Linked DNA regions of Caenorhabditis elegans. The protein of the gene in region 2 interacts with the protein of the main gene of each other region in a pairwise test. Each region holds a gene or a part of one and is shown on either strand. Other genes may lie near its edges. The genes, in order: epn-1, arrd-11, ubql-1 and dnj-27.

Region 1 (5,154 bases), on a different chromosome or scaffold from region 2:
CCTTTTTTTTGCTTGAAAGACAAACGAAACTTTCTGTAAAACCACCATTTTTTGAGTAAATTATGAATGAAAGTGTTCAAAAAGCCGATTAAATATTGCAAAAGTGTGTAATCCGGATCAATTAAAAATTAGGCTTGCGTGACTAATGGAGGAAGGAGCTTTTTAAGCGTTTTTCACTTGCCCTATTTTGTTCAGAACATTAAAAATAGGTTTGACCCCTTTCCTGAAAAAAAAAACACAATTTCACATTCTTCCAACAATAACTTCTAGGCCATCCCTTGTTCACCCATTTTTTCTTCCAATAAATGCGATAACCCCTCTGAACCATTGTTCATAACCTTTTCCGCCAATTTCATTCCGGATAAGTGCTCTCGTGCTTTTTATATTCAATTTCCTGCAATTGTTCCCCAAATTTCCGATGGATGGCTTTTTCGTGTCTAAAGTAGCATTTGCGGTCATCAAAAACATGAAATACTAATAATGATTTATCAAAAATTTAAAAATGATAAGATTGTTTATTCATTTGAAAAAAAAAATATTTTTCAGTAGAAGTTGTGTTAATTTTGTTGTTTGTTTTAATGTGGGAAGTCATATGCATCTCCTAAAAAATGTTATGTCTCCAAATTACTGTTAGTCGACAGCATTTGCTTGATATGATGTTATTTAGAAGCAACCAAAGAAAATAAAGAGAAAAAAAAAGAAGACTTCCTTCAATCAGACACGCTACAAAAAATACCATACACACGAAGAAAAAAAAGATGTGGGAAAACTTGAAGGAAAGGGTGGAGCCAAAAAAGAAAAAAAGAGTGAAGAAATTGAACAACTCAACTTCATCAATCGTATCGTTTTATAACGGTTTAATTCAAGACAAGTTGCGGGAGACGAAAATTGTACAGAAAAAGTATAAAATAATTCCCAAAAATTTTGGGAGAAGAGAAGGCAAATGGGTGGGGACGAAATGTTTGAACCGTCACCAACAATTACTTCAAAAAAAAAGAGTCAAGTTTAGCCAAAGGAGGATGACAAGTTAGTGGGGATGGGATGGAGAAGATGCAAACAAGCAATGACAGGCTGTAAAAGGAGGATAGGCTTGCAATAGATATAAATAGATTATACAAATAATCGACATATAAGTATCATAAATTACAAAGTTTAATTTATCTTCGGGCTTCACAAACATGAATTGAAGAAGAAATTGTAAAGGAGGCGCGGGGGAAAAACGTGGTGAGTGTATATGAGAGTGAGTTTCGTTTTTGACAGAAATATATCAAAGCTGATTAGAATAGGTAGTTTCACAGTAAAGACCAATTGCCCGGACTGTTTAGAAAGGATTTGCAAATGGATTGGCTTGTGGAAGTGTCCCACGTGGAGCCATCGATGGAATTGGAGGGGCCTGTCCTTGAGCAGCACGCATCTCATTCAATGTCGGAGACTTTCGTTGTTGAGCAGCAAATGGATTGGCGTTCGCTGGAGCGGCTCCGGTAAGGAATGGGTTTCCACCTGAAAAAAAATGTAGAACATTCAATCATTATCAGTTTTTTTTATTGCGCCAGTGCGTTCGCGCTTTCAAAATTGTGCCCTTTACGACATCACATCTTATCAGCTGATTTTGATATCAGCGGCGCTTCTGCCGTAAAGGTGTGAGCACGAGTTTAAGAGGGATGACACAAACAAACACAGAGCAGTAGCACAAAATAGCACCAATCTGAAAATAAATTTGGTTGTACTGACCTGTGGTGCTTGGAGTTCCGCTTCCCAGCAAGTTGTCCAAGTTGACAAGGTTAGAGTTCTCCCCAAGGAAGTTTTCTGGAGTCTTTCTGGTACCATTTGTGGAGTTGTTAGTGTTGATGTTGGCGCTCAATGAGTTAGTTGGGGAGAGCAGCTGAAATAAATAAATATACAGAATCTACGGAATGACTGAAAATAGATCTTACATCTCCTCCGAGAAGATCAAACGAACTGCTCGTTGGCATTGTTGATGGAGTAGTTGCAGCTGGAGCCGGTGCATCCCAAGAAGCAAACGGATCAGAGTTTGGAGCGGTAGCGGCAACTGGTTGAGCAACTGTCGATGTAGCCCATGGATCGTTGTTGGACATCGAGTTAGCAAACATTTGATCGTTTGTGTTGAGAGAGGCAGAAGCTTGTGGAGCACCCCATGGATCATTCATTCCCCAAGCCGACGATGACGATGGTTGATCGTTGTTTCCACTGACCAGCTCACCAACACCCAACGAAAGCAGGTCGTCAAGAGCGGATTGGGTTAATTGTCCGCTGCTCACGGTACCTTGCTTGGTCGTTGCGAGGCGATCGGCATCCTGAAGCTATAAGGGGTTAATGGGAAGACGGAATATGGTGGGTTTCTAAACAAACCTTTTGCGACTCTTCCAGAGCCATTTGAAGGCGAGCATCATCGCTCTTGCGCATCTCGTCGGCCTTTTCGCATTCCTCTCGTGAAAGAGCAAGAGCAATTTGAAGCTGCATCTCTTCCTCGGTGGCGGTAGATGGACGAGCATCTTCGTACTCGGGGTCTAAAAAAATTTAATTGAGCAGAGTTGTTGTGGGGAAGTATCCGCGCTGCTATTTCAATATGATATTTATATCTTACCAAGAGACGCGTCGGTGACATGATGACGATTGCTGCGACGACTTTCCGCTCCAACCGGTCCTGGATTGTTTTGCTTGAATTTGTTTCTTGTGAGGATGAAGCGTGTTCTTTCGTTTTTCAAGCGTTCATCGTCGGAGAGCAGTGAAGTGATCTGCTTTGCTTTCTCTCGAATGTTCAAGCCCTGATCCCGATTGTCTTCCACATGCTGGAAATCCTTGAGTGTTTCAATGGTGAACACGTTCTCTCTGCATTGTTGCGCGACCTGCAATGCGAAAAAAAATCGATAATGCATATGAGTCAGAAAACCATTACCTTCTCGTGGCCGCATTTGATGAGAAAATCGAGAAGCACCAGACTTTTGTACACGTGTCGCCAGTTTTTGCCAGAATCATTTAATCGCTTCCAAACAATTGACATAATCTCAGTGAACGCCATTGGATTGTGCGTCAAGTCGGCAATTTCGGACATGAGCGCTGTGGATGGTCCCCATGGATCGTTGCTTGTGGCTTCGCGAACCTTTACTTGTGCATCCGAGAAATTATAGGCGACGTTCTTCACTTGCCGGCGAATCGTCGAAATCGACATGTTTGCTCCCCGCCTGAAAATAAAAAAAGTTAAAGAGATGCAAAGGCAGAAATCAAAATTATACAACGAATGACCATTGACTGAAAAGGAAACATCACATGGATAAGATTATGCCCAATCAAATAAACTGAACAGAGAACTACAAAAATGCCAACTGGCAAGAGGGATGATGTGGCTGAATGGTGTGGCTAAAACATAGAAATTGATAAGAAACGATCCAATAGAATCGCGCATGTACAATGCATATTTGAGAGAGAGAGAAAATGAAAGAAAGACAGAGAGGCGAATGAGTGAGGTTTGGAGAGGGTGAGTCTTTTGTGAGTGAATATATATGTGTGTGTGTGTGTGTGGTCTTTTTGCGCGCGTCGCATGCGTTTTGTGTCTGTGTCTGTGTGTGTATCTGTGAGTGTTGAGTGTTGAGCGCGAGAGTATTTCTCCTCGAGGCGAACGCGCGCCGCGCGCGTGCAACAGCGCACAGTGAGCGCACGAGTGTCAGTGCGCGTGCTAGAGAGCACCATTTGCAGTGAGACGCAGATGGTTAGAAGTGTCCCCCAGAGAAAAGAGTGCGCAGAGAAAAAGGAGCCGGATAGTGCGAGAGACACAGTGGCAGCGCACGGTGGTCAGAAAAGAAAGAAATTAAGCTAGTGAGTTCGCAAAGTCACGAGATTATTTGCTTCGTTTCAGTGAGTGAGTGTGTGCTGGGCTGAATGATTGATGAAAAGAGAAGAAGGGGTAGTCAGTGAGTATCAGTTTTTGATAGTGTGTGCTACTATCCGTCGCTGCCTGAAGGTGTTCACAGATTAGGACTGGAAGAGCGGCAAACAAACGTATACACACATGCATACACATGTATTTCGCATTTCCAAATGCCTTCATTTTTCTATGAAAACGGGCCTCCTAAAAAAAAAAAAGAAACATGGATGGAAAGGGTGTGTTATATGAAATTGGACGAAAAATGAAGAGAATACAGAGAAACGAATGGAACTTGAGAAGAACAAAAACAGGTTTTCCTGTGGAGATGACGGGGGGGGGGGGGATTGGCTAAAGGCGTCGAAGATTTATAATATCTTCCTGGTCGCGTTGCGAAATGGATGGATGGACATTGGTGGCAAACGGGCGGTGGGGGAAATGGCAGAAATTGCAAGAAAATTCTGAACGAAAAACTTCTAGTATGTAGTACTTTTTTGCAGTCGGTGACGAATGCCCCGCTGCTGCTTGGGTTGAGGATAGCTCATTGGCAAATAGAGAAGTTACGAAATATCTGAACAGGTTTTTTTTTCTGTTGACACGTCATTCATGCTTGTTTTAAATGTTTCCAATATTTTTAATTAAAACTTCCAAAAAAAAAACCCTCTTAAATTGATAAATTGAGAACTTATAATTGAAAATACAACAGTAGTAATAAAAAAATGCTAAAGTTGAACCAGTGTTTATTAACTCCATATTGTTCACAGAAACAAAAAAAAATAACAAGCATTACATCAAATTGACAGAATTTCCAAAAAAATTAGCTATTAGACTCTGTGTGCTTCAGAGTTTGTTGTTCGGGTAATCGAGTTTCTCCATCTCTCGGTTGTTAGCATTTACATTTCCATGCGTCATCGATACCTAAAATATTTATTTTCAATAATTGGCATTTTCTGAATGATGGGTGGGGGGTGCAGCAGCGCATTTTTTTTATTGCAAAAAAAAATCTCACCTGTTGTGGATTGAATTGATTTCTAGAAATCTGATTCGATACAGAGTCATCAACTTTTCGCTGCTTCTGCTGAAACGTGTCATCCAGCTCAAACTGATTCCTCCACTCGTTCTGATCCTGTTGTCGTGGCCGCGCCCGTGATTGGAGGTGCTGTTGGGAACTGCTCTGCGCTTGTGGCATGTGCTGGCGTTGTTGTTGCTGTTGCTGCTGTTGCTGCATTTGCTGTTGCTGGAGCTGCTGTTGGAGTTGAGCCTGTTTCTGCTGC
Region 2 (4,697 bases):
GCGGTCACGGAAAAAATTAATTTATTAGTTTTAAAATATTTAAATTATAGTAAATTATAGTAAATTATCATCCATAGGTTGTACAGAACATGTGCTCAAAAAATGGTTACTCCGGCACTGGCGCAGTTGGGTTATAGACTGGCAAGTTGTGGAATATATATATTTATATATATATTGCCGAAAATGAAAATTTCCGGCAATCAGCAAATTGTCGGAATTGAAATTTCCGGCAAATCGGCAAATTGGCAGAGCTTTAAATTTCCGGCAAATTGGCAAATTTCCGGAATTAAAAATTTCCGGCAAATCGGCAAAATGCCTGAATTAAAATTTCCGGTAAATCGGCAAATTGTCGGAATTAAAAATTTCCGGCAAATCGGCAATTCGGCGAAGATCAGAATTTCCGGCAAATCGCGAAACCGGCAATTTACTGATTTGCTGAATTTGTCGACAAAAAAATTGGCCGAACAGCAATTCCCGCTCACGCCTGATGTGTATATTAAATGCAAATTTTTTATTTTGGCATATCAAATTTTACGACTTTTTGAATCTTCTGAAGTAAAAAACAACCTGTCAAGAAAGTTTATGCATAGCACCCTAACCAATAACAAAACAAACATAGTTGGATTAAGAATTGCTACTCTGACGGTGGCGCCGTTGGGTTATATATTGGCAAATTATTGAATACTGGGTATTTTGGAGCAAATGGTTTTTCGTTCTCCTCGGCTCTGAGCTCGGTTCCTCCCACTCCATACATGGATTCCTGGTAGGATGGTGGTGGAGCTGAAAACTTTCAATCTTAGAAAATAATTCTGGAATTCTGAATAACTCACCACTTGGAATCACTGCCGTACCACTACCTCCGCTCGGACAGGGCACATTCACATCAGTAAGATTAGCATACGGTGGTGGCAGGCCAATTGGGTAGTTGTTTGGAATTGGTGGTGGAAGATAATTTCGAATAGGTACAGTTCCTATAAGGATCGGCATTTCACACTTAGCAGCACTCCCGCATGTTGAAGTGGTCTCCACGCGGACTTGTACCACGTATTCTACAGTAATCACCGGGGAGAACCGACAGATGGTTGGAGTTACAGATGGCAGACGGAATTCCAGCACAAACTTGTGCTCATTCCCTGGAGTCACTGTCATCGGCTGTGTCTGCGTGATAACGGGCTTAGTGTCGTACTTTGTTTGCTGCGAAGATCCTGACATTAGCGTATCCGAACCTCCATCAAATCGGAAAATAGTCCCGTTTCGATAAGCGATGAATTTGCACTGCTGAATGATTTTCGCCTTGACCTCGGTGACGGGCACGGAGGAGTGATTTAGAATATGGATGTTCATTGGAACAGTCTCGCCGGGTACGAATCCAGTTTTTGGGATGTTTACTCGCAGTTCGAGGTAACCTTTTCTGAAGAAGCAGCAGCCCAGGTTCTCACTTTCTTCGTCGTCGATTGGAGTGAGTGCGAGGGGAATGGCATTGAGATCGATCAGTGGGGAAACTGAAAGGATATAGAATATTTCCTCTTTTAGTACGGCATGCATACTTTCGGCGACCTATTTAGATACTAGTTTTTGAACAAGTTCTCCATAAGTTATGGCACAATACCATCAATTTGAATAACACACATTGAGCCAAATTGAACGAATAATTTTATAACTATGTAATAGGCAAAATAGTCCGAGTTGTACATATTCATTTCTTACCAATTTCGACTTGTTATACCAAATGTGTACGAGTTTTCCTAATTTGCACGAGGGGTCAGGCTCTCCCATTATTTTTTGATCTTCAAAAAATGCGGGGTAGATCAAACTGAAATGGGACAGCCTGACACTTGAACTTGTAGAACGAAGGGGGCAAAACTAATCGAGGCGTCTTACTAATAAAGGAAATACGGTAATACTAAAAATTAGAAGACCGCCCACGCCTCGCCTCACCAGTGATGCACCGTCTCTTCGCCTTATCCAATCTCCATGGCCGATCCACTTCAGCTGTCACCGAGTATCTCAAATATCCATATTTTCCCTCAAAGCTTGGCGGAACGTTGAGAGGAAGAGTATATGAGAATGGCCACACGTAATCTCCAGCAGACAATTCATTCTGAAAATTTATACAATTTCAAATTTAAATGTTTTCAGATTCCTACCGATCCATCTTTGCAAGCCCACAGAAGCAGAGCCTGATCCAGGTAGTGCACATTCGATGAGTAATGAACCGATTCTGAATCGTACCTCACATTGCCGTCATTGTCACTGAAAATGTATGCTTATCAAAAAATTTTATTATTTGTTATTTGAATTATTTATTATGAATGTTTTTTTTTTTTTTTTTAATTTTACTTTTTTTTCAAATTTTCATCAAATTAATATTTTTACGGAACATTATAACTCCTTACAGATCATTCTTTAAAAAATATTGATTGTTGCATCGACAATTTTAGGTCCCCCCCCTTTTTCTGACTTAATTTAGGCACAATTTTACAGTTTTAATAAATATTTAATTATTCGAAAAAAATTTTTTTTTTAATTTTCTTTAAAAATAATATTTTTTGAACAGAAAATTGAAATTCTTTACACTCTGCGAACACTGTCGTAGTCCGTCCAACTAGTGTGAGCCAATCCCAAAATTTTGATATTCACCGCCCGAGCCTTGTATTTTTCCTCCGTCGTTGAGAGCACCACTCGGCCGGAAATCGGTTGTCCCGGGAAGAAAACTTCGTTAGGTTGGTCGAATATCACATGAAGCTCAGTTTCTGGCATGATAACCCTGGAAATTGGGAAAAAAATCGTTAAAAAATTCAAAAAACCGGAAGAAAATCGGTGGAGAGAACACTGAAAATGGAGAATATTGGGAAATTTAAACGAATTTTAATGTTTCATATTTCATAAGAAAAATAGAACAAATAAATGTTGGAAGAGAGAACAAGTGATCAATTAAGATGTTGACATCTTACTGGGTATTTTCATTTACAGGTGTGTGTTAAATAATCAAACCTGATAACAATATTTACTCACAGAGAACAAGAACAAAAACAGATTTTGGTTGTTTAAATAGCGACCGATTCCTCAGAGAATTTTAAAATTGTTGTTAGCAATGATGTTTATATCCGAATGACTAATAACGCACAAAAGAAAAAATATAAATGTTCAGTCAAAATCAGCAAGGTTTTTTTGTCGAGCAATTTGCCGATTTGCCGGGAATTTTCAATTCCGGAAATTTGTCAATTTTCCAGAAATTTCAATTCTGGCAATTTATCAATTTTCCAGAAATTTTCAATTCCGGCAATTAGCCGATTTGCTGGAAATTTCAATTCCGGCAATTTGCCGCTTGCCGGATATTGTCAATTCCGGCAGTTTTCCGATTTGCCAGAAATTATCAATTCCGGCAATTTGTCAATTCCGGCAATTTGTCGATATGCCAGAAATTTTCAATTCCGGCAATTTGTTGATTTTCCAGAAATTTTCAATTCCGGCAATTTGCCGATTTTCCAGAAATTTTCAATTCCGGCAAATTGTCGATATGCCAGAAATTTTCAATTCCGGCAATTTGCCGCTTGCCGGATATTGTCAATTCCGGCAATTTACCCATTTTCCAGAAATTTTCAATTCCGGCAATTTACCCATTTTCCAGAAATTTTCAATTCCGGCAATTTGCCGATTCGCCGGAAATTTCAATTCCGGCAATTTGCCGCTTGCCGGATATTGTCAATTCCGGCAGTTTTCCGATTTGCCAGAAATTATCAATTCCGGCAATTTGTTGATTTTCCAGAAATTTTCAATTCCGGCAATTTGTTAATTTTCCAGAAATTTTCAATTCCGGCAATTTGTTGATTTTCCAGAAATTTTCAATTCCGGCAAATTGTCGATATGCCAGAAATTTTCAATCCCGGCAATTTGTTGATTTTCCAGAAATTTTCAATTCCGGCAATTTACCCATTTTCCAGAAATTTTCAATTCCGGCAATTTACCCATTTTCCAGAAATTTTCAATTCCGGCAATTTGCCGATTCGCCGGAAATTTCAATTCCGGCAATTTGCCGCTTGCCGGATATTGTCAATTCCGGCAGTTTTCCGATTTGCCAGAAATTATCAATTCCGGCAATTTGTCAATTCCGGCAATTTGTTGATTTTCCAGAAATTTTCAATTCCGGCAATTTGTTAATTTTCCAGAAATTTTCAATTCCGGCAATTTGTTGATTTTCCAGAAATTTTCAATTCCGGCAATTTGTTAATTTTCCAAAAATTTTCAATTCCGGCAATTTGTTGATTTTTCAGAAATTTTCAATTCCGGCAATTTGTTAATTTTCCAGAAATTTTCAATTCCGGCAATTTGTTGATTTTCCAGAAATTTTCAATTCCGGCAAATTGTCGATATGCCAGAAATTTTCAATTCCGGCAATTTGTTGATTTTCCAGAAATTTTCAATTCCGGCAATTTACCCATTTTCCAGAAATTTTCAATTCCGGCAATTTACCCATTTTCCAGAAATTTTCAATTCCGGCAATTTGCCGATTCGCCGGAAATTTCAATTCCGGCAATTTGCCGCTTGCCGGATATTGTCAATTCCGGCAGTTTTCCGATTTGCCAGAAATTATCAATTCCGGCAATTTGTTAATTTTCCAGAAATTTTCAATTCCGGCAATTTGTTGATTTTCCAGAAATTTTCAATTCCGGCAATTTGTTAATTTTCCAAAAATT
Region 3 (7,945 bases), on a different chromosome or scaffold from region 2:
GAAAACTCAATTATTGTTGTGCTAGAGGCTCAATTCCAAATCCATCCATCTTTGTATTTGGAAGGCAATCATTCCAAAATCTATTCCCAAGAAACAAAAAATATGGTCTATAGGAGAGCGGAGCACTTGATTGAAATGATGCACATACATACCCACACAGACACAAATTAACATTTCCTCTGAGAATAGGCAATTTTGAAAACATGAGGGAAATGCACATAGCATGCGTAGAGCTGCTTCTTAATTGTTCATTACATATTACGAGTCAGTGCTACGATGTTTATCTTCTAAAAACGCATTTTGCTTGTCATGTTTCGAAACAAATGAGTGCGCGAACAACGAGTATCTGTGCATTTATATCTATGAGTGTGTTGTTCTCAATAATAACAGAGACAGGAAGAGGAGCAGTTGGACGAATCGACGCGTCATATGTGTTTTTGCATGGGACCCCTCTTGTTCTTCTTCCTATTGTGACCAGCACTACCGCATCTTTCCGTTCATTCGATTTATGCATTACACCATACTTTGACGAGTTCGACAACATGCATTAAGTGATACAACGTGTCCTCCACTCTCTACACATGTCCCTACAATTCCATCAACATACTAATTAATGAGAAGAAATGATTGGACTATGTTTCGGATTTAGCTATCGTAATTTTAAGGGAACTACTTTAAAGGAGAAACAATTTTAGATATTTGAATTTATTGTTTATCCTTAATGCAAAAATCAAGGTTTCAATATGATCTGAGCAAGAGAAGCGATGTTCTACTATAAAATAACTATATCACAGGTTTGATACAGGTGTTCGAAAGAACTGTTTCCCATGCAACCAGCCATCTGTCTATTGTAAGAACAAGAAAACCAATCGAATGCCTATTCAAAAGACACTAAGTGTTTTGCCACTGAACAGATCATCCCATCGTTTCGGACGTCGGCTCCTAATAGACTCCACTACTAATCACTTCGAATATCATTTGCATCGGCTCATCTTAACAAAAAAGGCGGGAAACGAGAAGACCGGAAGATGTTCGCCAGCTGCCTCTTTATGAAATGAAATACGTGTATGGCACGGCGCGTGTTCCACACAATCGCCGATTAGACAATTGTTGAATGAATAAAAGGGGAACGTCGCCGTCCTTTTTCCTATCTGCTCTCATCATGCGCACCAACCTCGCGCACTATTCCATTACACAATATTCCTGGAGACACATCGTTTACTATGATCTATGCAAATGTCGTCAAAACAATCATCTAATGAGACAAAAGCTGCAGCAGCAGTTATAACAAAAAGGGGGAGAACAAATGTTGTGGCCAATTGCTTGAAACATACGGGATAAATTTGATAGCAGCGTAACCGCTTACAAGATGAGATTATAGTGACATCCGATCCGTGGAATGTGTGTGTGTGTGTGTGTGCAAATACGTCGTCGCGCATCCTAAATATGCCACAAAACATGTGCTCCTAACAATTGCGGGAAGCAAAAAGAGCAACACTGATTTGCTTATTAAAGGGGCCGAAGAAAAAAGAAATATAGATCAGATATCGTAGTAAAACTTCTCGAAAAATCAAGTTTCCTAATTTGCAGTCGAAATTGGCAACTACCTAGATACCACCTATTTTAATTTTGGAATTCGACCGAAAATAGGCAATTATTCAAGTATTATAATTTAATTTTTTGTATTAAAACATTTTAGGGTGTCGAACATGGAATAATGCTCTAAACTTTACAAAAAGCTCAACTTTCCGAAAATTTGGCATTGTGCGTACAAATAACCCCTAATGTAGTGAAGATCACATCTACTAAAATTGAAGGTTCTGTGATAAGAAAGTTTCCTTTCAGCTTTTGTGTTGCCCTCTCATCCCAAAAAAGATCTGATTATTGAACATAGTTTTTTTTGCTGTGAAATGTGTAATATTTATGTGAAGAGACGAGCCTTTGTCGATCAACGTTTTTATGTGCGCCTACTAATATCATTTTATGTGGGCAATGCACATACATACACACACTCATCCACGTTTTGGTATTGAACAAAATTAATCGAAAATGTAAAATGACATATAACATGTATGTGCCAACAATGTGTTGTGTGATGCGAGAGCATTCGGTCCAGTAGTGCAACGTCGACGAAAATTAAAAAATCTGATCTATTCGTATGGATAAGATGCCCGCCTTTCACACTTCCTATGTCAAGTGATGAAAACGAAAAATGCAGAAATTATTGCTTTTGTTTCCAATTCAAATTGTTTCGTCTAACAATCATCAAAAATTAAAAGACAAGGAAATGAGGGGCCTTCCTCTTTCACTGGGGGAACTCATGATAAATCTCCCACACTTCTCTTTTCTAAGAGTATATTCTGTCTGTAGAAAGGGCCGAGACATCAGAATTTCGAAACAATTTTAGATACGCCACCGGGGTCTAAATGAAATTCGATATGATAATTGCATTTTCTGAGCAAACAGGAAAAGATTTTCGATCGTGCACGCTGTCATCAGTTTGCCATCGTCTTCGTCACTTTATACTCATTATCTAACATTTATCCATAGCATGTCAAACGAGCCGACTTTTGCTTCTGCTCAGCGACGACGGCACAGAAGAAGCAGAAGACGGAGCATCGTCTTGTTACATTATTCAGAACAGACACACGATGACTTCTTCTTTCTTGCTCGCGCACTTCCGTCGCTGTCACAGAGCAAACGGCGACTCGGCGCAACTCATCAGCTTCTAAATTTGAGCAAAAACTTTGATATATGAAATGAAGGGGGAACTTCATTTGATGTGAGGCTTCAACTAATCATCCAAATTTTCATTTCAATTTGGAAAATTCAAAAGACCACGGAATCGAGAGGGAAGTATAAAAAAAACTATACTATGGGAAATTATTGGATTCGGTGATATTATTCTAAATCGATCTGTCGATTGAATTAGAAAGGAAAGCTTAAAATAGTTCAATTAGCTGAAAAAGTTCTTTGAACCCATGATGTTTCAATAACTATCATACAGACAATAGAAAGTTTTGGCAATTGCCGATTAAAAAAATTTTACCACTTCGATAAATTCACAATCCAAAAATAGGCTATTGTCGAGTTTTCAAATTTTGCAATGAATAAAAAATAAGAAAAACTGATTTCTACAGTAGTAATGCTTTTTTTTTAGCTTTTTAAATAGAAATTTTCTCTTTTTCAGTTCATAAAATCTTATTATCTCGTTATTTCACTCTGAATATTTTTTTTTCTAGACAATTCGAGAAGGCCGAACTTGAAAATAATCACCTCTGCTCCCATAAGAAGTGACATAAGAAATCAAATATTCAATATACTCACTCTTCCTCCTCCCATATTCATTGAATTGAATAAATCGGCAAGTCCGTTTGCAGAGTTTGCTCTGAAATGAGAAAAAACTATCAGCTATAAAAACTATCAACGAACCCAGCAGAAGATGCATTGGCATCAGAACCGAATGCTCCACCTCCCATTGCTCCAGCTTGGAAAAGGCTAAAATAATTTTAAATAGTTTTTGACTAAATGGTATTTTCAAATACTTCAAAAGTTGAGGTGCTTCTCTGCGAAGAGTTGAAAATCCCTCTTGAATTTGACGGAATGCTTCACTGACCCGTGGGTTTCTCATTGCCTCCATCACAGATGGATCAGACATCTGAAATTTTGAAATATAAATTTTTGTAAAAATTTAGAAAATAAACCATGTTGAGCATTTGTGGAAAACTTCTACGAATTCCTTCGGAAATCTGTGGGTTATCACGAGCCGATGGAATTTGTCCAACAATCTGAACTTACATAATTATTTTAAATTTTTTAAAAATGAAACTAACGGAATCAATGAGTCCAGGATTGTTTGACATATTTTGACGAATTGAATTGATGACTTCTGGGCTGAACATACTGGCCTGCATACTTGGATTGGACATCATCTGCTCCATTAGGGAGCTGATGCCAGGTGAATCAAGCAATGCTGAATATGAATTAAAACATTATTAACGGATCACTAAACTATGAGGATATTCGTGACGTTTAAATATTTTGTTTAAAATTATAATAAATGGTGGGCGGCAGACGTAAAATTGGGCGAATTGGAAATTTGTCGTTTTGAAATTTTTGTTGGAAATTTTTTAAGGAAAATGTTCAAAAATACATTGCTGAAAATCTTTTTTCACATTTACAATTTTTTAATTTTTTCGGCAAATTGATATTTGGCATTTGCCACTCGTCATTGATTATTATATGATTTTAATGTAAGATTTTTTTTTACTTAGAGAAATTTGACTCAGAAAAACTTACAATTAAAGTCAGCAGAACGATTATTCGATTGATTATTGGTAGCTTGATTGGCGTTTGAAGCCCATGGATTTGGCAGAGCTTCATTATTTTCTTGTCCAGCACGATCGACACGTGGCTCACTGCTCTGATCACCTCTTAGAGAAGCAAATGGATTTCCACTGAGCGAATTTGTTGCACTATTGAGCAAGGGCTCCTGTACATCATTGTACAACCGTTCAAGAGCAGCTTCTCCTCCGGGAATTCCCTGAAAATTGAATGTTTCAACATAAAATAACAAATCCAACCGAAAAAAAGGAAAATCTGTTGAAATTGGAATTCAAGACAAAAACCCCTGTAGCGCGGCTGGGATGGAATATATAGTTTCCAGAAATGTACCCCTGATATTAAAAAAAAATTAGCAATTTTTTGCCATATCAATTAAAATAACAATTAATTACTTTTAATAGTCATATTTAGACATTTAGATCGGCATCCTTGATCGATTTTTTAAAACTAAAACTGAAAAATCAGAATTTTTCGTTTTTCGATTTTAGAGAGAAAAAACCGACTTTTTCAATTTTTAAAAAATGGTATTAAATTTTGGTAATTTTTCTTTTTTTTAGACAATTGTTAGATAACATTAAAATGTCTTCGTATGTTTTTTGTCACCAACATATATGACACAAGTTGTGTGTCACACAACTTGATAAAAATCAAATTTTATTGATAATTTTCTGGACTTTTTTTCTTCGATGTTTCGATTTTCGCTGAAAACATTGAAAAATTGAAAAATGGCATCCCTTGATCAGCATAGCTATATATAATGTACCTGAAGATTCCTAATAGCTTGATCATGATTCCGCATCATTTCTTGGAACATATTTGGATTACGAATCATCTCCATAGTTTGACGCATTACATTCGGATCGTTGAGAATGTGTCCAACTTCTGGATTTCTCTGAAAATATTTATTGTCGATATACGAGAGAAATGTGGAAGATTAAAAAATTAAATAATTTTTCGAATCCGAAAATTTACAAAACAAATATCCAGGAAAAACTCGAACCTCAATCAATGCTTGGAATTGTGGGTTGGATTGAATAATTGTTCTCATAAACTCTGGATTTCCTAGAAGTTGTTGTGTAATTGGATTATCCATAACTGAACGCATAGCATCTGGATTGTTTAAAATATCAGCAGGTGATCCCATTCCTCCCATTGCTGCAAATGGATTATTGGTAGGATTCGGTTGTGAAGAAGGTGTTGGATTGGAACTTGGTGCAGATGAAGCTGTTGGTGTTGCAGCAGCCGGCGCTGGTGTTGGACGGGCTTGATTTCTAATAACCAAGTGGACGGTGTGACCATCAGCGATTTCTAAATTTTTGTTTATTATTTTTTGGAACACATTTTTCAACTTACTGTGCTGTGTGAGAGTTTCTTCATCCTTCAGAATTTTTCCGGTGTAAATTATACAAACTTGTTCTTTGTTCGCAGTTGGAACGAACACAAGAACCTTGTCTTTTAGCTGTAAAATATTAATTAAACACTGTGATTTACACATTTAATTTATCAAAATGGAATAATCACTTGAATTTTTATCTAATTCTCAAGAGCAAAATTTTATTTTTTAAATAAAATATAACATACTTCTGAAACTGATGCATCCGCAGCAATCTCAACGTCATACTTGTTCGACGGTGATTTCACGTGAACTTTGATGAGTGCACTCTCTGTAGCCATCTTAAATTTGAGAAATATTAAAAAACCGACAAAATTAAATAAAGAAAAAGGATTGAGAGAATGAGAGGCGGAGACGGAAAAGAACACGTTGCATCGATAAATCGAGAATATTCTCGAAGCGCAAAAAGAAATTTCGCAACTATTTCAGACCGAATAATGTAATAATGTAATGGGTCTCTTCGATAGAAAATAAACGAAGATAAACGAAGACACAATTCTTCCTGACGCGCGAGCTTCAATATGCACGTGATGACTAATTTGGTTTCCATGGTGATCTTTTTGTTCCTTTTATCGATTCAAATTTACAATAAAAATAAGAAATTAAAGTTCTAAATGGCGCTCCAATCAATTTGCCTTCCAATTTAACGTCGATTCCTTCTATATCAGGTCATAAAATGAATAAAAAACAATGATCAATAAAATGATGCGGTAGTTGCGTAAATCGACACATGATGGTCGCCTCTTCCGTGCGAGACCCATTGGGCGGAGTTCTCACAAGAATGAGGCCAATCGGCACACAACACGCGTGCGACAGGCAGTGAACGACGTGTTTTTGGCTCAGTTCCTACCAATCCCTGGTGTACACACGAGCGCCACGTGGACCTTAACAATTCGGGTCTATTTTTATGCTTCTGCTCTGCATTTTCTGGATTATTAGTAATAATATCATTAAAAGTGATATAACGCTCCCCGAGTCTATATAAAATTTCTCCTCCATACAACACATGTTTTTTGGCTTTCTTCTTCTAAGCTTAAAATTTATAGTTATTTACTAACTGTATTTTCCACTTATTAAAGATAATTTTTGAAAAGTGTTTGTAAATACTTAAAATTGAACCCGAAACAATCTGTATTTGTCCATTCACATGTGATTCACAGAAAAGAATGAAAATAAATGCGAAAAAAAAATAAATAAAGTAAAGGCGCATTGATTTTACCGCTCGCGGTATCTCGCCACGAAAACACGTTTCGCGTCAAGCGGCTCACGTTTTCGATGCGATCGCGGTTTGTTAATTGCGAAAACACCTTCCCTTCTCTTCAATCGTTCGCTCAATTTCTAGAAAATATTTCTGAATAATCTGAAAACCTCTAATCTTGTTTCTTAGTTTTTAACTTTTTGTCGGTGTTCCCGATAATCTCTCGCCCTCTAAACTCACTCGATCGATTGTCGTTTATAGGTAAAGTTTTTAGGTAATGATTTGGGTCCAGGCAGCTTTGGTCGCCTCCTTCCTGGCGTTCGCCAGTGCTGGAGGAGCCGTTCTCGAGTATACCGACGGAAACTTCGATGATCTCATCCAAACCCACGACATTGCTCTTGTCAAGTTCTACGCTCCCTGGTGCGGACACTGCAAGAAAATTGCCCCAGAGTATGAGAGAGCTGCCCCAAAACTCGCATCTAACGATCCACCAGTCGCTCTCGTCAAGGTAAGATAACCATACTTATTTACACAGCCATCGCTCATATATCGATCGCAGTGACACTGACAAATACGCGAAAGCTGATAAAACAGCAACGAAAGCCACATTGAATAGAAATATATGAAATGCATACAAAGGATTCTTTGAATTTATTGTTCTAGTCCTTATGCATATAGAAACATTTGTCCGTCATATATATTATGTATGCTGGTCCAAAATGGTTATTGTGTATTCAAAAGGCCATTGACAATGAGATCGGCTCGACATTTACATTTTCCCACGCATCAAATCACTGTTTGTTGTCAGGTCTTTACTCTACAGAATACGGACATCAATTAACGATAAGAGCAAAAACACCAGTCGCGTAGCAAACAGTTTTATCTATACCACAAACGAGTGCGATATGGTAGTAAATGAAACAAAAGATTATGTTTTTGAAGTTGAAGATTGTAAAAAAAAAGAAACAAAGATTTGAACCACGGTTTAGTAATAGGAATCCAGCCCCCCT
Region 4 (5,025 bases), on a different chromosome or scaffold from region 2:
AAAACGCTGTAATCCTAACCCTAAATAACGTCAGTGGGGGAGCGTTACCCCACTGACGCCAAGCCCAAGCCTAAGTCTACGCCTAAGCCTAGGCCTAAGCATAAGCCTAATGAGCAAAAAGTGTTGTCAAAACTCACCCAATAACCTCTGCAAGCTCTCCACTGAAATATCTTCAAGCTCATCAAGATATTGAATAACACTCTTTGAAATCTCTTGAGCATCCATGCTCTCAATATTAATTTGGCTCTTTTTCACTAGTTTTCGTGCCGGGAACCACATTACTCCTGACGTGATTGGATTGAATTTCGAGCACAGAGCTTCTTCAGCGTTACAGTCAATGGTTGCCACGTTGGCAAGTCCGTCGAGCATTGAGGAGAGCTTTCGTCTGCAAATTTAGAAGTTATTGGCCTAGAAAATACGTGGTCGAGGTTTTAAAATTTTAGGATTTCTATGCCATCAACTTAAACTGCCTATAACTTGGCTTTAAATCGATATTTTTGAATTTTATAAAAACCAATTTACACAAACTTTTTTTGAATCTAAAAGTTGATAAGCTACGTGGCCGATTTCTTCAAAAATGAGTTTTCTAGGCCACCAACTTAAAACCCTTGTAACTTGGCTCTAAATCAATATTTTTGAGTTCTGTAAAAACCAATTTTGTGCACTTTTTCTTGGCTTTCAAAAAATAAAAAAAATCAATTACCTCGTAGTAGAGCTCAGGCAATCAATATGATCCCCTCCACACATATCAACAACCCATGGAAGACGATTATATGGTTCCCAGTCCTCGCTCAACGCCTTCCAATTCTCCGAATTTAAATGTAAAACTTCAGATTTGAGCCGCTGAATCGCAAAATCCACCATCAACTCCACATCACGATGTCCTTGATAGAATTCTCCAGTTGGATAGAACACAAGTGATGGATAGGCATTTACACGTTGAGATTGGCACAGCTGTGGATCTTCGGCACAGTTCACAGCACCCACACGGATTGTTCCCTCGATTTCACGCGCGAATTTTCGCCACTGGAATGTGAAAAATTTTGCATTTTTGGTAGTAAAAATGAGCAAAAAATCTTGAAAACTGACAGAGTTAGGTGGATTTGAAATTTTTTTTTTATTTTTCAAAAAATTTATTTCAAAATCGAAAAAAATTAAAATTATTTTTTTACAACTAGATCTTTTTTGTGAAACATTTAGGAATTAATTCTGTTTTTAATAAAACAATACAAAAATTCAAAAGCGTTTTCCCAGAATTTTGAAAAAAAATATTTCCAAAAATTTCGAATCACTGTATGTCAGTCAATTTTTGAGATTTTTGGCTAATTTTTGTCCTGAAAAATTTGAAATTATATACATTATTTAAATTCAAAAGTGATGTATCTCAGTTTTCAAAAAATTCATTTTTATAATAATTTGAACTTTTTCCAAATTTGGTCAGTTTTTTTCAAATGTCCAAAAATTTCAAATTACCGTATCTCAGTCCAATTTAAACATTTTCAGCTCGTTTTTGTTTTAAAATACTCCAAATTATTTGAATTTTAATATATGTTTATGAAATTTTTCTGTAAAACTTTCAAAAAATTGCATTTTTCCAAAATTTGAAAAAAATACTTTCTGCAATTATTTTCCAAAAATTTCAAATCACTGTATCTCACAAAAATCACTGTATGTCAGTCAATTTTTGAGATTTTTGGCTCATTTTTGTCCTGAAAAATTTGAAATTGTATACATTATTTATATTCAAAAGTTATGTATTTCAGTTTTCAAGAAATTCATTTTTACAATAATTTGAACTTTTTCCAAATTTGGTCAGTTTTTTTCAAATTTTCAAAGAATTCCAAATTACCTTAACTTAGTCCAATTTAAACATTCTCAGCTAATTTTTGCTTTAAAATACTTCAAATTATTTTAATTTTAAAATTTAAAAAATACTTTCAAATAAGGTATTTTTCCAAAATTTGAAAAAAAAACAAATTTTGCAAAATGTTCAATTTTCAAAAAATTCCAAAACTTCATATCTCACTCCATTTTTGAGATTTTTGGCTCAACTTAGCCTCAAAATGCACCAAATTTTTTCTATGTTCACATAGAAACATTAAATTCCAAAACCCGCTTTTCTCTTACCGTAGGAGCCAGCTGATGACAATGTGAGCAATAAGTGGAGTAAAAATTGATGAACCAAATCTCATTTGAATCCGAAACCATTCGTTGAAAGTCTGCTCTATTGAGAGTCACAATTTCTTGATCATCATCATAGATTCCAAAATTATCATTATAAAACTGCCAACTTTGATAGTTATTTCCTCCTTGGAACCCGTCTTCCAGTCCTTTTTCTCCAAATTGGTCGTATTTTTTTCGCAGATTTTCGTCCTTCAGGACTTCGTAAGCTTTATTGATTTTTACAAATTCATCATGGGCGTTTGGATCATCCTGGAAATAGTGGTATGTGTGGAGAGACGCTAGAGATCTCTCTGTAGAGAGTGAGAGAGAAGGGGGAGAGAGTAGAGGAGGAGGGGAGAGCGCAGAGAGGCTAGAGAAAACCCTGAATATCTCAGCTCTGAGCAGCACTATCAAAAAATTTTCAACTATTAAAATGCTCAGAATAAAGTGGGAAATATTTTGTTAGTTGACAACTTTTTGATATCTCAAACTACAAAAAAGATATGACACTGAACGTGAAATTATGAGACTGTAAACTTCAAATCGTTTTTTCTCAGCTCAGAGAAGAGCTATAAAAAAGTGGTCAACTAGAAAAGTGTTTAAAAATTAATTTTACACATTTTTCAAGTTGACAACTTTTTTATATCTCTAACCGCTCAACAGATAAATCCGCAAAACCAACCGTATTCCTATCAGGATGCTTCTTGATCGCCAACTTCTTGAAAGCCTTCCGAATCGTCCGATCGTCTGCATCTCGTTCAACACCTAATAACTCGTAATAGTCCTCCGCAATCACCAGATAACAACTGATTAACACTGATAATAGGACAATTGCCCTCATTTTCTGTAAGTAAAAGTGAAGAATTTGATAGAATTAAACTGACTGGGACTTAGTAAACGTCGGCTAACGCACGAGATAGGGTGAGATAGAGAGAGGGAAAAGATATAGGGAAATGGAATTTTGATCGGAAAATTTTGCTGATTTATACCTTAAAAAGTGGCTCTGGAGATACAGAAAAAATTAGGGATTTTTTTGGAATTTTTTTTAGGCCGAAAAAATGCTTTTTTCGACTGAAATTTTCGGCCAAAAAATAATTTTTTTGGACAATTTTCAAAGGTGTTTGGATCTAGTTAAGCATTAAAAAAGTATATTTAAACTGGTTTTTAGGCATAAAAAGTCACAAAATGCTCCAAAAAGCTACCAAGACCTAATTAAGAAACTCACAATATTGTGAGCAAACCGAAAAAATCGATAAAAATGACCCAAGTCTTTATGGCTATGTGGAACTGGGGTAGATGTGCAAATATCTGGGAAGGATTAGAGGTTAGACGAGAGAGCACACTCATCACGAGAGACGCAGAGAAGTGGACTGTCCAAACTTGTTTGTGCTCGGCGGAGCTCAGATTTGCACAAGAACTGCAAAAGTATACAGGTTGGCTCTTGCTATGTGGCCGCTGGAAAAAAAAAGAAAAAAACTCGGCCACCGATTGTACTAGAACTGGAAACTAGAGGAGAATTTTTGAATAATTTGAATTTCCCGCACAATGCAAATGCGCTCTAATCGGAAAATTGCGTTAAATTCGTCTTTTCTAGGTGGAAATTGAACGATTTAGTGATAAAATTTGCTTTTTTGCATTTTTTTTTATGAAGAAAGTAATGAGAAGAAATCAAAATTTGACATAAAACTATTCCAAACTCTGAAAAACAAGCAAACGCCAAAAAAAAAGTGAAAAAATCTTAGAAATTGTTGTTTTAACTGCCACTTTTAATAGAATTTATGGAAAAATTAATTTTCTTGAGCAAGAATAAAGTATAAATTCTTTTAAATCTTGTTTTTCACGAAAAATGCCCCATGTTGCAACGAAATTCAAACTTCGCTCGCAAAAATTTCGGCATTTTGTCAATGGAGCGCGCTTGCTACATTTAATTTGTTTTGTTTTTTTTTCGCAATTTTTTATTTTTGACCGATTTTTGTGAAAGAAGAGTAGTTTTCGGATGATTTTTTGTTTTTTCAATGTTAAAAATAATTAAAATTATAATTTAAAATGTGTTCTAACCCTAATAATCCGCATAATATCCTGAAAATTTGGAAAATGATTTTTTTTCCTGATTTTGAAATATTTTCTCTCATTTTTCACAGTTTCTTCTCTTCTTTCCGTTCTTATTTCTTAATCATTACTCAAACAAAAAAGAAAATTGAGAAAAAAATCAACAAAAAACGGTGATTCCGATACTTTTAACCATACAAAATTCGGAAAAACACGTTTTTTTCGAAAAAAAAGAGTTAAATCCTCAAAAAAATCAAGAGATTTATAGAATAACACAGAGATGAGTCATCACGAATCGGCCGGCTATATGCGTTGACCCCTTTGAATCACACAAAAAGTGGGTCTCTTCAGTTGTCTGCGTCTCCGGGATTCGTGTGATGTCTTGGTGAATGGCGAGAGAATACCTGCGGGAAAAAAGTGGAAAATAACAAAAGAGGATACTTCGATGAACGAAAATCAATGTTTTTCAATTGCAATTGGATTTTTTTCGTCGAAATTTCGATTTTTCCACCCAATTTCGGCTAAAATCAGCACTTTTTCTGGAAAAAAAAAATTTGAATTTTCCGTCGAATTCGGACATTTTTGTGAACTTTTCTACTGAAAAAATACTGAAAAGTCGAAAAAGTCGATTTCGACGATTTTTTCTAGGAAAAAATCGTTGAATTGTCAGGTTTTAGAAATATTTGTGCATTTTTCAACTTAAAATCTGCCTAAAAGTAGATTTAGGCCGAAATTTGCCGGTTTTCGACAATTTTCTAGGTATTTTGTTATGAAAATCGACTTTTTAGGTGACTTTTAACATTTTTAAAGCTT

The links.
Region 1: the proteins of arrd-11 (region 2) and epn-1 interact in a two-hybrid assay, tested with the Caenorhabditis elegans proteins (one large-scale study listed by BioGRID).
Region 3: the proteins of arrd-11 (region 2) and ubql-1 interact in a two-hybrid assay, tested with the Caenorhabditis elegans proteins (one large-scale study listed by BioGRID).
Region 4: the proteins of arrd-11 (region 2) and dnj-27 interact in a two-hybrid assay, tested with the Caenorhabditis elegans proteins (one large-scale study listed by BioGRID).

What each region holds. Positions count from the first base shown.
Region 1 is NC_003284.9:14,815,305-14,820,458, forward strand, and holds epn-1 (ENTH domain-containing protein), read right to left. Parts: upstream 3,211-5,154; 5' UTR 3,191-3,210; coding exon 2,918-3,190; intron 2,868-2,917; coding exon 2,606-2,867; intron 2,529-2,605; coding exon 2,371-2,528; intron 2,322-2,370; coding exon 1,935-2,321; intron 1,883-1,934; coding exon 1,732-1,882; intron 1,501-1,731; coding exon 1,322-1,500; 3' UTR 501-1,321; downstream 1-500. Other genes in the region: Dual specificity tyrosine-phosphorylation-regulated kinase mbk-1, read right to left, coding at 4,721-4,798, 4,890-5,154.
Region 2 is NC_003280.10:13,761,490-13,766,186, reverse strand, and holds arrd-11 (Arrestin C-terminal-like domain-containing protein), read right to left. Parts: upstream 2,770-4,697; 5' UTR 2,761-2,769; coding exon 2,576-2,760; intron 2,254-2,575; coding exon 2,148-2,253; intron 2,102-2,147; coding exon 1,939-2,101; intron 1,503-1,938; coding exon 831-1,502; intron 781-830; coding exon 635-780; 3' UTR 545-634; downstream 1-544.
Region 3 is NC_003279.8:7,020,055-7,027,999, reverse strand, and holds the start of ubql-1 (Ubiquilin), read right to left. Parts: upstream 6,019-7,945; coding exon 5,926-6,018; intron 5,804-5,925; coding exon 5,698-5,803; intron 5,653-5,697; coding exon 5,345-5,652; intron 5,237-5,344; coding exon 5,108-5,236; intron 4,544-5,107; coding exon 4,300-4,543; intron 3,974-4,299; coding exon 3,834-3,973; intron 3,789-3,833; coding exon 3,705-3,788; intron 3,659-3,704; coding exon 3,546-3,658; intron 3,499-3,545; coding exon 3,433-3,498; intron 3,389-3,432; coding exon 3,328-3,388; coding exon of another isoform or gene 3,307-3,327; exon of another isoform or gene 3,277-3,306; intron 1-3,276. Other genes in the region: pdi-3 (Protein disulfide-isomerase), read left to right, coding at 7,213-7,443. UniProt on the Caenorhabditis elegans protein: May play a role in the ER-associated protein degradation pathway (ERAD) possibly via its interaction with ER-localized proteins ubxn-4 and cdc-48.1 and/or cdc48.2, providing a link between the polyubiquitinated ERAD substrates and the proteasome.
Region 4 is NC_003279.8:11,875,785-11,880,809, reverse strand, and holds the start of dnj-27 (DnaJ homolog subfamily C member 10), read right to left. Parts: upstream 3,008-5,025; 5' UTR 3,005-3,007; coding exon 2,846-3,004; intron 2,802-2,845; exon of another isoform or gene 2,731-2,801; intron 2,650-2,730; exon of another isoform or gene 2,572-2,649; intron 2,516-2,571; exon of another isoform or gene 2,436-2,515; intron 2,434-2,435; coding exon 2,128-2,433; intron 1,027-2,127; coding exon 704-1,026; intron 386-703; coding exon 138-385; intron 1-137.